Ovis aries: one gene and its partners. The protein of the gene in region 3 binds, or shares a complex with, the protein of the main gene of each other region. Links are inferred from orthologs where the notes say so. Each region holds a gene or a part of one and is shown on either strand. Other genes may lie near its edges. The genes, in order: NCAPH2, NCAPG2 and NCAPD3.

Region 1 (3,980 bases), on a different chromosome or scaffold from region 3:
GGCTCGCGCCCACTGTTCGGGCCTGCCTGCTGGGCGGGGCCTCTGCCCACAGCTGGCTCAGCCCCAGAGGGCCCGCGGCCTGTGCTGGGCTGTGTTCCCTGTCCCCAGTTCTGGCCGCGTGGGGCCTAGGAGGGACCTTGTAGGGGGAGCAGGGCTGACCGTGTGCGATCCCTGCTCTCTCGCAGAGCCTGGAAGGGCCGAGGAGCAGCCCATGGAAGTCTCTGTGTGCGGGAGTCCCGGCCCGGCACTCAGCACCTCCCAGGAGCCAGGTGAGAAGCGAGCTCCCAGGCGGGCCTGCGGGGGGGCTGGGGAGGGCCTCTGCGCTCAGCACCCACCCTGTCCAGCGCTGCAGCCTGGGGGGCTAAGGCTCGGGGGCAGGCCTCCGTGCCCCGGGCCCACCTTGGCCAGCTGTGCTGTCTTGGTTCAGTGGCTGCCCCCAGACCAGCTTTCTCTCTGAGCAGACAGAGGCGGCAGCATTTGAAGAGGAAAATTACTAAAAACTAAAGTGAAGCAAACAGAGCAGCGGTGTGACGCGAGTGTGCCGTGCTGTTTGCTCCCCACAGGTGACGCTGCGGCAGGGACGGCACCTCATCCCCAGGCGCAGTCCCCGCTGCCTGGCCTTCTGGCTCCCGAGGCTGACTGTCTCGTGTCCCTGCCAGGCTCCTCTCCAGACGGCCCAGCGCCCAGAGGTGGGGGCGTGGGAGAGGACAGAGAGGATGCAGAAGGGGCAGCAGAGCCCCCTGAGGCCTCAGCACTTGAGGTCCCTATGGAGCCCCTGGAGCCCAGGAGCCCTGAGCAGGTGGGACCCCGAGGGAGGCCTGCTGAGCCCCCACCCTCAGCCAGGCGAGCCCCGGTGGGGACGGCGCGTGCGTGGGGCAGGCGGTCCCCTGGGCTGCCGGCTCTCTGGGCCTTGTGCGCCAGGGCAGTGGGTGTGTCCGCCAGCCGGCCCCAGCCCCACACCCTGCCCTTTCCAACAGCAGCTTTCACGGCTCCCTCTCTGAGCAGAGCAGCTGCTGCTCTTCAGGGGTGGACTGGTGCCCAGGGGCAGCACCCAGAATGGCACTGGTCTCCAGAGCCGACTCTCGAGGCCAGGCTGGCAGGAGTGGGCGGGCCTGTCAGGTTCGATTGGTTGTTTTTGCCTAATTGCTGTCACGTCCGACTCTCTGTGACCCCATGGACTGCAGCCTGCCAGGCTCCTCCATCTGTGGGATTCTCTGGGCAAGGATACTGGAGTGGGTCGCCATGCCCTCCTCCAGGGGATCTTGCCGACCCAGGGATGGAACCCAGGTCTCCCGCACTGCAGGCGGATTCTTCACCGTCTGTTTTTCTCTTTGAGGAAGTATCTCGCCGCCACTCGTCCAGTTCCTATCGCCTAAATCTTTATTAGCTTTTCACCTTCTCGTCGTTGAACTTCCTGCCCCCAGGGGCTTTCTGCAGGGCTCCCCATGTCTGGCCCCGGAGCAGAGCTGCTGGCGGCCTGGGATCCTGGGTGGAGGAGGAGAGGGGAATCCCAGGTTTTCCTTTGCAGAGTGCTGCCCAGCCCAGGAGGTGTGCACTCCGGGAGCGGAAGGAGGCCCCGGAGCCCGCATCCAGGCTGCAGGTGAGGGGCGGGCGGCCTGGAGCCCGGCGGGGGGTGGGGGGGGCGCCCTCGGCAGTGCGTCTCTTGAGCACTCTTCCTCCCCCAGCGCTGGGCCTCCCTGCTGCAGCTCCAGGGTGCCCCCTCCCTGAGCTCTCAACTAGGGGAGGGTGCGTGTCCTCCACCCTCCTGTGTCTGCTTGTGCTCAGGACACCCCAGACCCCTGGCAGGGCCTGGACCCCTTCGACTCTCCAGATTCTAAGCCCTTCAGGAAAGGTAACGCGGCGGGCATGGCCCCTGGGCACTGGGGGTGGGGGCTGGATTCACCCGGCTTGAGTGGAGGTTGGGGCTCCACGGCCTGTGGGCACGGAGATGGCCCTGGGCTGTGGCTGTGCTCCGGGACTGCCTGTCTGCCCCCAGGCAGGCCCTACTCTGTGCCCCCCCGCGTGGAAGAGGCGCCAGGACAGAAGCGTAAGAGGAAGGGTGCCGTCAAGCTGCAGGATTTCCACCAGTGGTACCTGGCCGCCTGTGCGTGGGGCCCAGGGTCGGGTGCGGCTGTGGGCCTCAGCTCGGCCCCTGCTGACCCGGGCTTCTTGCAGATGCTGACCACACAGACAGCAGGAGGTCCCGGCGAAAGGGCCCTTCCTTCGCAGGTGAGCCTGGGGCCTGGGGCTCTTTGAGGGAGGCTGACCCCACATTGCACCGCCCCCCTCAGCCTCGGGAGGCCGGAGGCCAAGTGGACTTGGGTGGGCCTGGGCAGGATGAGGGAGCCCCCTCATGAGGCTTGTGTGCGCAGACATGGAGGTTCTGTACTGGAAGCACGTGAAGGAGCAGCTGGAGACGCTCCGGAAGATGCAGAGGAGGGAGGCAAGTACCGGCCACCATGTGGACCCCGCGGGGCCTGGTGGGAGACAGCAGTGCCTCTGATGGGCTGTCTCTGCACAGGCGGCTGAGCGGTGGTTGCCGAGGGCTGAGCAGGGGCTGTGGCCTGTGGAGGAGGACCGCCTGGAGGACTCGGTGGAAGACCTGGGCGCCGCAGGTGGGGCCTCCAGGGGCAGGCCGGGGCAGGGCTCAGCGCCCACCGCAGCCTAACTCGCCTTGTGCCCGGGTGCTCCCTTCTCAGCAGATGACTTCCTGGAGCCTGAGGAGTACGCAGAGCCCGAAGGGGCAGAGCCCGGGGAAGAGGCAAACATGGGTAGGTCTGGGAGTGGGCTGCTGGCCTGAGGAGCCCTGAAGACGGGAGGGACAGACGCTCACGGCCGCACTTTTGCAGAAGCGGAAGCCATGCCAGCGTCTCTGCGCTATGAGGAGCTGGTCCAAAGGAACGTGGTAGGCCCAGGTCAGAGTGGGGGCAGCCGGGCGGGGCGGGGGCGGGCCCTGCACCCAGCTGCTGGCCCCGGTCCTCCCCCAGGAGCTCTTCGTCACCACCTCGAAGCAGGACGTCTTCGTGACCACCTCGAGGCAGGAGCTCGTCCAGGAGACGGAGCTGAAGCAGCACATCAGGGGCTGGGAGGAGGCCATCCAGACCCTGCTCCAGGAGCAGGTGAGGCGGGCTGGGCGGGCCCCTGGCGGAGGATGGCGTCCCCTGCCGCCTGCCTTGGGCCAGCCCGGGACCCTCCCTTCCCCTCCGCAGGAGGAGCATGTGCCCTTTGACATCCACACCTACGGGGACCAGGTGGTCTCCCGGTTCAGCCAGCTCAACCAGTGGTGTCCCTTCGCGAAGCTGGTGGCAGGCCAGCCTGCCTTCGAAGTGTGCCGCTCCATGCTGGCCTCCCTGCAGCTGGTGAGTGGCCCAGGCGTCTGGGAGGGAAGTGGCCCCGGCCTCTGCTAACGCTTGGCGTCCTACAGGCCAATGACTACACAGTGGAGATCACCCAGCAGCCGGGGCTGGAGGCAGCCGTGGACACCATGTCCCTGAGGCTGCTCACACGCCAGCGGGCCCACCAGCGCTTCCAGACCTACGCCGCCCCCTCCACGGCCCAGCCCTGAGCAGGGAGCCCACGCCCCACGGACCCTGGGTGTGCGTCTGCGCCGTCTGCTTCCTGGCTGGCCCAGCCTAATAAAGTGTTGCCATCCCACCAGTCCCTTAAAACAAACCCTTTACCGAACCGTCGTGTTTAGGGGAGAGGGTTGTCTGTCCCCTGCGCCCCAGGAGGCAGCCACCAGGCCCCCAGCCCCCCGCCCGCCAGGGCCTGCAGGGGCGGCCGATACAGATCTCACGCGCACACGGCTCCGTCACAGCCCTTTAATGGCCGGGCTCAGTGCAGGACACTGCGGAAGGCAGCCATGTGGCGCCGCACGCTGTCTGTGATCTGCTCGGCCGACCGGCCCCTGCTGTAGTAGTCGGTGAAGAGGCCGTCGGGGCTGAGCAGGTAGATGGCGATGGAGTGGTCCACGATGTAGT
Region 2 (3,980 bases), on a different chromosome or scaffold from region 3:
TCCAGCCATCTCATCCTCTGTCATCCCCTTTTCCTCCTGCCCCCAATCCCTCCCAGCATCAGAGCCTTTTCCAATGAGTCAGACCAACCTAGACAGCATATTAAAAAGCAGAAACATTACTTTGCGTACCAAAGTCTATCTAAGTCAAAGCTATCTATGGTTTTTCCAGTCGTCATGTATGGATGTGAGAGTTGGACCATAAAGAAAGCTGAGATACCATAAAGCGCTGAAAAACTGATGCTTTTGTGGTGTTGGAGAAGACTCTTGAGAGTCCCTTGGAGAGCAAGGAGATCCAACCAGTCCATCTTAAAGGAAATCAGTCCTGAATATTCATTGGAAGGACTGATGCTGAAGATGAAACTCCAGTCCTCTGGCCACTTAATGTGAAGAACTGACTCATTGGAAAAGACCCTGATGCTGGGAAAGATTGAAGGCAGGAGGAGACGGGGACGACAGAGGATGAGATGGTTAGATGGTTAGACTTCATGGCCATGAGTTTGAGCAAGCTCTGGGAGTTGGTGATGGACAGGGAGGCCTGGTGTGCTGCAGTCAACGGGGCTGCAAAGAGTTGGACCCGACTGAGCGACTGAACTGAACTGAACTGATTATAACTGGTAGTAGAAAAGAAATACAAATTTCCATCTGGATGTTGTCATTCTAAGGACATATAATGGCTAAAAGCAAAAGTTTCTGAGTTTATTCTTCTACTTCTTCCCATTGCTCTCTACTAAAATCTCTGCTTTCTGTTTGATGAAGTCTTTGGAACTCAGCATATCTTTGTAAAGGGAAAGTGGTGCCTTTCTCCGGGGACTTGGTGATAAGATTGCTATGCCTAATGGTAGACTGTGAAAACCAAAATCCAGATCGAAAGTTTGTTGTGTTAATTTGTTATTTTTGTCATTCACATAGTATTTTCTAAACCTTTAACAGTGTTACTGGTTTTAAATTTAGCCGTGAGTCGTTCCAAGTATTAAGAGCCTATTGAAAATCTGCCTTTGCGTCACGGCTGGTTTTGGTTTTCTGTACACCCTCTTTTGTTGCTCACTCAGTCATGTCTGAGTCTTTGTGACCGCGTGGACTGCAGCACGCCAGGCCTCCCTGTCCTTCACCATCTCCCAGAGCTTGCTCAGACTCATTTGAGTCAGTGATGCCATCCAGCCATCTCATCGTCTTGTACCCCCTTCTCTTCCTGCCTTCAATCTCTCCCAGCGTCAGGATCTTTTCCAATGAGTCAGTTCTTCACATCAGGTGGCCAAAGTATTGGAGCTTCAGCTTCGGCATCAGTCCTTCCAATGAATATTCACGAATGGTTTCCTTTAGGATTGACTGACTTGATCTCCTTGCAGTCCAAGGGACTCTCAAGAGTCTTCTCCAACACCACAGTTCGAAAGTATCAATTCTTCTGTGCTCAGCCTTCTTCACAGTCCAACTCTCGCATCCGTATATGACTACTGGGAAAACCGTGGCTTTGACTAGATGGACCTTTTTTGGCAAAGTAATGTCTCTGCTTTTTAATATACTGTCAAGGTTTGTCATAGCCTTTCTTCCAAGGAGCAAGCATCTTTTAATTTCATGGCTGACAAAGCGTGGTCCACTGAAGAAGGGAATGGTGATATTCTTGCCTGGAGAACCCGTGAACAGTGGTGAAAAGGCACCCTCTTTAGTTCGGGTCATTTGCTCCCTGTATCTTCTCCCATCCCATTTGAGGAGCACAGAAATCCCAGGACTCGGAATGAGTCATCCTTTGCACCTCGCGGTGGTGATGGGTGTGGGCTCCCACCCTGCACAAACGCGGAGGAGTCATAGAACCCTCAGGACGTAGCGGTGCTGCCGTCCCCTGCCGCCAAGCTTGGAAGGCGCATGCAGGCCTGCTGCTTGAGACCAAGCTGGAACCGCCCCTGGTCGAGGGGGGTGGGTCCCCTCAGACACCATACCGCAGCCTTGGGGGTTCTCCCTGCCCATCGTTTGCATTTCTACTGTAGGGCTGGAATTCTGAGACATGCTATTAAAGACAGTGCCATTCCCTTAATAGTCGAGCGATTCATTCTTTCACGGTGATTTTTGTCTTAGGCTCTGGACCAGACACTGTCGGTGAGCGATGCCGCGTCTATGGCAGGGCTGCTGGAGATCGTGGTGATTCTCTGGAGGAGCATTCACAGGAGCCTGGAGAATAACAAGGAGGCCCGAATGTACACTGTGGACAAGTTTGCCTCGGTGCTGCCGCAGTACATGCGAGTGTTCACGGTAAGACGGCCGCCCTGAGGAGCGGAGCAGCCCCCGTGCGCATGGCTGAGCCAGCTGCTGCCGGGACTCACGGCGCTCTCCCTGTGTGGTGGGGCTGGGCGGCCTCCAGCCTCCGTCCCAGCGCGTGTCCAGGTGGCTCTGGTCTTCCATTGCTAATGGCCTGCGACCCGGTTTTAGAATCTAGTTTGACGTGCTGGGAATTGAGAGAGAGGAGTCTGTGAACATCCAGGATGCACTGCCCCCTGGTGTGGGGGCCTCTGACGGCACCTGGTAAGCACCTGTTTCTGAAGCCTCTGAGTCGTGTCTGTGTTACTGGGGCAGATGGACCGTGTGTGTATCTTCTGCTTAAGTGAAGGAAACCCAAAGGCCATATTTCAGAACTAATGGAAATAAAACTGCTATGTAAAAGTGCAGGTTTATTTCCAATTACAAAGAAAGCGTGGCTTAAACATAGAGCGGTCACAGGTCTTAGGGATCACTCTTCTCTTGGGAAAGTTTACTTCTGGTTCTTATACAGCTGCTTGTGTGACCTTAGACCTTTTAGCTTTTGGAGCTGTATTTCTGTGACTGTTAGGTCTCCGAGATCCATTCAGCCCCTGAAACGCCCATGTGACCGGTCTGTGAAGGTGAAGGACGAAGGCTGCCCCGTCACTAGGACGTTTAAAGGGTCAGACAGCTTCACTAGGCTGAGCAGTAGATAGCACACGGAGGAGGTCGGGTCCTGGATGAGCTGACAGAAGAGCAGTGTGCCCTGGGAGTGTCTGGGAAAAGGCAGGCGGTCCATTAAGTGCTTCAGTCCCGAGCGATTCTGGCCAGAGAGCCTCTCTGCCCTCAGTCCATCTGAGAACCTTGTGGTCTTCCTGTCAGTGGGTAAACCGTCTGTGAGCCACGCTTAGAGCAGAACTGGGAGTAGCGATCAGCTGTCTGTTGTGACATTAAGAAAATATTTTGTGTATTGGAAGTTGAGGATGAGGGCGTGTTCACTCTGCCTGAATGCAGATTACTTACAGATGGAACTGTGAGTTTGCTCCTGTTTATTTTTCAGGAAAATTGTTGTTTCTCTTCCTTTTAGGACCCATCTTCTCTGGTTGTGTTGCCATCTGAGGGTATTTCTTCTTAGTGATCTGGGTGGCGTCTGGCCTGTCGGCCCTGTTACGGCAACAGGGATGGCTGTGGTGAGGTGGCTGCCGTGTGCAAAGTGGCTCTGGGGGCCTTCGTGCTTTCCTCACGGGTCCCTGCCAGCCCTGCCCAGAGAGCAGCCTTCTCCCTGCTGGTCCCTGCTGGCTGGGCTGTGGGCTCCACTGGGACTTGGGCTTGGCCAGGTAGCTCCGTTGCACTGCCCTGCCTTCCGAAGGTGTTCTGATTAAGAACTTTTCTGATTAGCTTCGTTTTCTTGAGTTTTACACTGAGGGCACACCAGGTACATAGGATTGTAATTTTTTTCTTTCATCAGTATTCTTTTTAGAATGCAAGTCAGTGCCTTCACAGCAAGGACTTTGGTCTGTTCTGGGCACTGCTGTGTCCCCAGGGTCTCCTGGTACACAGTGGGTGTTTAATAAGAACGACACATCACGGAAAGTAGGGAAGCATCCTGGGGAAGCCTGAGAAGACCCAGCACACCTGGAGCCTCGCAGAGCCCGGGTCCTGTTGTGTGCTGTCCCCACCCAGCGGCCCTGCAGTGGGTTCCTCGGGCGGAGGGCCCGTAGGCCGCACTGCTCACATTCCCCTCTGTGTCT
Region 3 (3,980 bases):
GTCCACTGGCCTTGACTCAGGGACATTGCAAACCTCGGACAGGCTGCGAGGCAGTGCTGCAGTCGGCTGTGTGTTTCCGCATAATCTAGATGGATGAAACTACTCAAGAAGAAGAGGATGAAGAGGGTGTTTTTTATTCTTCTGAAGATCGTCGTCAGATTCGAAATGTCCTCTTTCAAGTTTTGAAGAACTTTATAAGGCTTCTTTCTAAATTCTCCTTAAAGGAAAAGCCAGAGTGTATACAGAATTGTGTGGAGGTAAGTGAGAATGCCAGGGACCTTGGGCAAGTTCAAAGAGAGTGGGAAAAATCAGGCCTTTTCTTGGTGTCTGTTTTCCAGGTCTTTGTTGCGTTAACTAGTTTTGAACCAGTTCGTTACGAGTTCCAGGTTACACAAGCCAGGTGAGCAATTAAATCCCCCGGTGCTAACGTTTAATTATGGTGAGATGTTTCGCTGCAGCAGAGGTGTGAATGTCATTCTATCCTGATTGGCACACAGGTAGAATTCATTCATTTAAATAAGGCTGATAGGGTTAGGAGTTTATCCTAGTGAAATCACATCCATTAACTAATCTTTTGCCTTTTTTTTTAGAGTTCTCAGAGAAATGAAGTATATACCAGAACTGGCCTACCATGGACTGTATCTGCTTTGTTCCCCTCTTCACAGAGAAGGAGACACGGTAAAGGAGACAGGAGCTGAGTTACAGGGAATTGAAAGCACACGGGTCGTGTGACTAGAAGTGCTGCAAGGACTCAGTGCGATGCTGTGTGAACTCGCTGGGTCGTTGGTGTCTGTGATGAGAAGCGCCCGTCAGCACGTGGTGGCCGCTGCTCGCTACAGGCTCATACCCAGGCCCCTGGTGCCGCAGGACACTCTTGTTGAGCTCAGGCATAAAGCAGGCCCCAGCGGGGCCTGCAGAGGCGCAGGAAAGCTGCTGGGCAGGGCTGCCGCTCGAGCGCTCACCAGAGCCCTCTGGGGGGCAGACAGCCACAGGCCTTGCAGCTCCCCCGCAGGCCCCGTGCCCCTGTGTTCCTGTTAGCGTCTGTGCTTTAGCAGATGATTCCAGAGTCCTCTGGGAGGACAGACAGCCATGGGGCCTTACAGCTCCCCCGCAGGCCCCTCTGCCCCTGTGTTCCTGTTAGCGTCTGTGCCTTAGTGGATGATTCTGCTGACACTCCTGGTCAGCATTCATATCTGGATTTGCCTGTGGTGACCTTCAGAGCCGCACAGCCCTAGACACTGGGGTCAGGGCTTTGTGAGCCCTGGGGTGTTACTGAACCTGAATGTCGTTAGTGCAGCAGGAGTCTGCAGAAAACATGGCAGACCAAGGCCCTTGCCTTCAGCGCCTGCAGTGCCCTGGTTTCCAGGGAGCGGGGTGAGGAGGCCCTGGGCACGTGGGCTCCGCACTTGGGTCCTACGCCTCACTGCTGTGTGTCTCCCTTTAAAAAGAAAAAACATTCCAACTTATTTTTGGCTGTGCTGGGTCTTTGCGGCTGCGAGCAGGCTTTCTCTCAGTCGCCGTGAGTGGGGGCTGCTCTCTGATTGCGGTGCAGTGGCATCTCGTGGAGCACTGGCTTAGTTGCTCTGAGGCATGTGGGATCCTCCCAGACCAGGGGTTGACCCGGTGTCCCCTGCATTGGCAGAGGGATTCCTCACCACTGAGCCACAGAAGAAGCCCTGTGTGTCCTCCATGAGTCCTTGGTATCCTCACCTGGACAAGGAGGATGAGGGCCTTCCCTTCCTGTGGATTTCTCAGGAGGACTGCAGGGAAGAGTGCCTCGGCGTAATGCCTGCTGTTTAGAAAACACCCCATCCTTCTTTAATTTTTGATGTCATTATCTCTTCCCTGTGTCTGGAATATGTGATAGCATTTACAGTAAAACTTTTAATTTCTGTGCCCTTTTTAGCATTGTAGAGTAGAAAGTGCAGAGGATGGGAAATTACCCTTTCAGGTGGCAGTGTCTCTAAGGACAGGGTGTTTTTCATTGCAAAAGTGTTGGCCTGATGTTGGGTGACTGTGGTTGTAGCCTTATCTTTGATTACTTGACTTGGGACTGCTCATCTTCAAAGTCTTTTGGTATGTATAAAGTGGAGATAATAATAGTATCAAGTATAGAATGGAAATGTTTTGCTGACCTCATTGAGTTGAGAGATTTCAGAGTAAGTATGGTCAAATCTTGTAGTACAGAGACATGCTTAATGCAGTACCGGCCACATCCTTGGTTTCCAGTAATTATTTTATTCACTGGTTGCACAAGCTAACCCTTTGAGTAGATTCTGTGAGATGATATACGGGAAGGTGTTCTGTAAGCTTCAGCTGTAACATAGGTGGAGAATCATCCCCTTCCTCTTTCCTGTGGGGGGTAATCCGTTGCATTCTTCGGCCTTGCTCAGTTGCAGCTGATTCTCGAGCCCTGGTTTCTGGGCTGGAGTATAAGGCAAGCAGAGAAACTGGGTGGAATCCGGCTGATCAGTCTGTAGGCAGCACCTCCGCACTGTTCGTTTTGTGCAGGTATGACACCTGGTCGTTGTGCAGCAGGCGCACCCTTCGTGGTCCGCCAGAACCTGTGCCAACCTCCTTTACCTGCTGGCACTTGAAACAGCTCACTGGGGTCTGCGTCACAGTTGGCAAGGCCCTGGGATTCTCTGTCATGCCTTAAGCTGCATGTCCTTTCCTCTTCCAGGTTCTCAGATACGTTTTGCATCAAATGCTCTGCATAATACTGATGGTAGAAGTGGGCAAAGGCTCCCATCACACCCCGCTTGCCATCACGCCGCCGGTTGTCAGCAGTAGGAAGCTGGCCATCCAGTTTGTAAGGTAAAGGGCACATAGCTCGCGTCTCTCCGTCACTCGCCCTCAGTAGCCTGGGCCCTGTGCTAGCCGCGGCTTCTGACACCTGAGGAGCTGACACGTGTCTGGGCTGTGTGTGGCTTGTGGTTCAGGATAAAGCGCATAGCAGCCCATCTGGCTTGTGCGGTAGGGGTGGTGTAGGGGGTGCTGTTGGGCGTGCTGTAGGGGTGGTGTAGGGGATGGTGTTGCAGGTGCTGTAGGGGGTGGTGTAGCGGGTGGTGTTGGGGGTGTAGGGGGTGCTGTTGGGGGTGTAGGGGGTGCTGTAGGGGTGCTGTTGGGGGTGTAGGGGTGCTGTTGGGGTGGTGTAGGGGGTGCTGTAGGGGTGCTGTTGGGGGTGCTGTAGGGGTGGTGTAGGGGGTGCTGTTGGGCATGGTGTAGGGGGTGCTGTTAGGGGTGGTGTAGGGGGTGCTGTAGGGGTGCTGTTGGGGGTGCTGTAGGGGTGGTGTAGGGGGTGCTGTTGGGCATGGTGTAGGGGGTGCTGTTGGGGGTGGTGTTGGAGGTGCTGTTGGGGGTGGTGTTGGGGGTGCTGTAGGTGGTGGTGTGGCAGTGCTGTTGGGGGTGCTGTAGGGGGTGTTGTTGGGGGTGGTATAGGGGGTGCTGTAGGGGTGGTGTAGGGGGTGTTGTTGGGGGTGCTGTAGGGGTGGTGTAGGGGGTGATGTAGGGGTGCTGTTGGGGGTGGTGTTGGAGGTGCTGTTAGGGGTGCTGTAGGGGTGGTGTAGGGGTGCTGTTGGTGTAGGGGGTGCTGTTGGTGGTGTTGGAGGTGCTGTTGGGGGTGCTGTAGGGGGTGGTGTAGGGGTGCTGTTGGGGGTGGTGTAGGGGGTGCTGTTGGGGGTGTAGGGGGTGCTATAGGGGTGGTGTAGGCGGTGGTGTAGGGGTGCTGTTGGAGGTGCTGTTGGGGGTGGTGTAGGCGGTGCTATAGGGGTGGTATAGGGGGTGCTGTAGGGGTGCTGTTGGGGGTGGTGTAGGCGGTGCTGTAGGGGTGCTGTAGGGGTGCTGTTGGGGGTGGTGTAGGGGGTGGTGTGGCAGTGCTGTAGGGGGTGGTGTGGCAGTGCTGTTGGGGGTGGTGTAGGGGTGGTGTAGGGGGTGCTGTTGGGGGTGGTGAGGGGTTCGTGGCCTGTGGGCCCGCTGGT

Evidence for each region.
Region 1: the proteins of NCAPD3 (region 3) and NCAPH2 are in contact, whole or in part, in a cryo-EM structure (PDB 9F5W), measured with the Homo sapiens proteins. The link is inferred for Ovis aries from reciprocal best matches to the Homo sapiens genes NCAPD3 and NCAPH2. Residues at the interface, in NP_056076.1 of Homo sapiens: Arg589, Pro591, Met629, Glu680, Arg683, Tyr684, His690, Lys724, Glu793, Asp800, Gln803, Arg804, Arg807, Gln817, Leu820, Gln865, Leu866, Cys867, Pro868, Ala869, Arg870, Val871, Val918, Ile925, Lys929, Leu932, Gln933, His934, Ala956, Asn960; in NP_689512.2 of Homo sapiens: Trp22, Ser68, Lys69, Glu72, Tyr75, Tyr79, Leu82, Asp83, Ser86, Ile144, Ile145, Pro146, Leu147, Leu148, Met150, Ala151, Leu152, Val153, Asp156, Glu159, Asn161, Asn162, Asn163, Pro164, Leu165, Tyr166, Ser167, Arg168, Gly170, Leu173.
Region 2: the proteins of NCAPD3 (region 3) and NCAPG2 are in contact, whole or in part, in a cryo-EM structure (PDB 9F5W), measured with the Homo sapiens proteins. The link is inferred for Ovis aries from reciprocal best matches to the Homo sapiens genes NCAPD3 and NCAPG2. Residues at the interface, in NP_056076.1 of Homo sapiens: Glu1213, Lys1216, Ile1217, Pro1218, Leu1220, Gln1247, Ser1250, Glu1251, Tyr1254, Lys1258; in NP_001268861.1 of Homo sapiens: Phe291, Lys332, Pro333, Ile334, Trp336, Lys340, Ala341, Arg342, Arg347.

Annotation. Positions count from the first base shown.
Region 1 is NC_056056.1:225,743,159-225,747,138, forward strand, and holds the end of NCAPH2 (condensin-2 complex subunit H2), read left to right. Parts: intron 1-185; coding exon 186-269; intron 270-563; coding exon 564-799; intron 800-1,528; coding exon 1,529-1,600; intron 1,601-1,785; coding exon 1,786-2,104; intron 2,105-2,175; coding exon 2,176-2,229; intron 2,230-2,372; coding exon 2,373-2,443; intron 2,444-2,521; coding exon 2,522-2,615; intron 2,616-2,699; coding exon 2,700-2,771; intron 2,772-2,849; coding exon 2,850-2,905; intron 2,906-2,987; coding exon 2,988-3,119; intron 3,120-3,209; coding exon 3,210-3,359; intron 3,360-3,424; coding exon 3,425-3,565; 3' UTR 3,566-3,657; downstream 3,658-3,980. Other genes in the region: protein SCO2 homolog, mitochondrial, read right to left, coding at 3,835-3,980. UniProt on the Homo sapiens protein: Regulatory subunit of the condensin-2 complex, a complex that seems to provide chromosomes with an additional level of organization and rigidity and in establishing mitotic chromosome architecture.
Region 2 is NC_056057.1:120,942,948-120,946,927, reverse strand, and holds part of NCAPG2 (condensin-2 complex subunit G2), read left to right. Parts: intron 1-2,070; coding exon 2,071-2,244; intron 2,245-3,980. UniProt on the Homo sapiens protein: Regulatory subunit of the condensin-2 complex, a complex which establishes mitotic chromosome architecture and is involved in physical rigidity of the chromatid axis.
Region 3 is NC_056068.1:82,063,271-82,067,250, reverse strand, and holds part of NCAPD3 (condensin-2 complex subunit D3), read left to right. Parts: intron 1-89; coding exon 90-257; intron 258-338; coding exon 339-400; intron 401-590; coding exon 591-678; intron 679-2,683; coding exon 2,684-2,817; intron 2,818-3,980.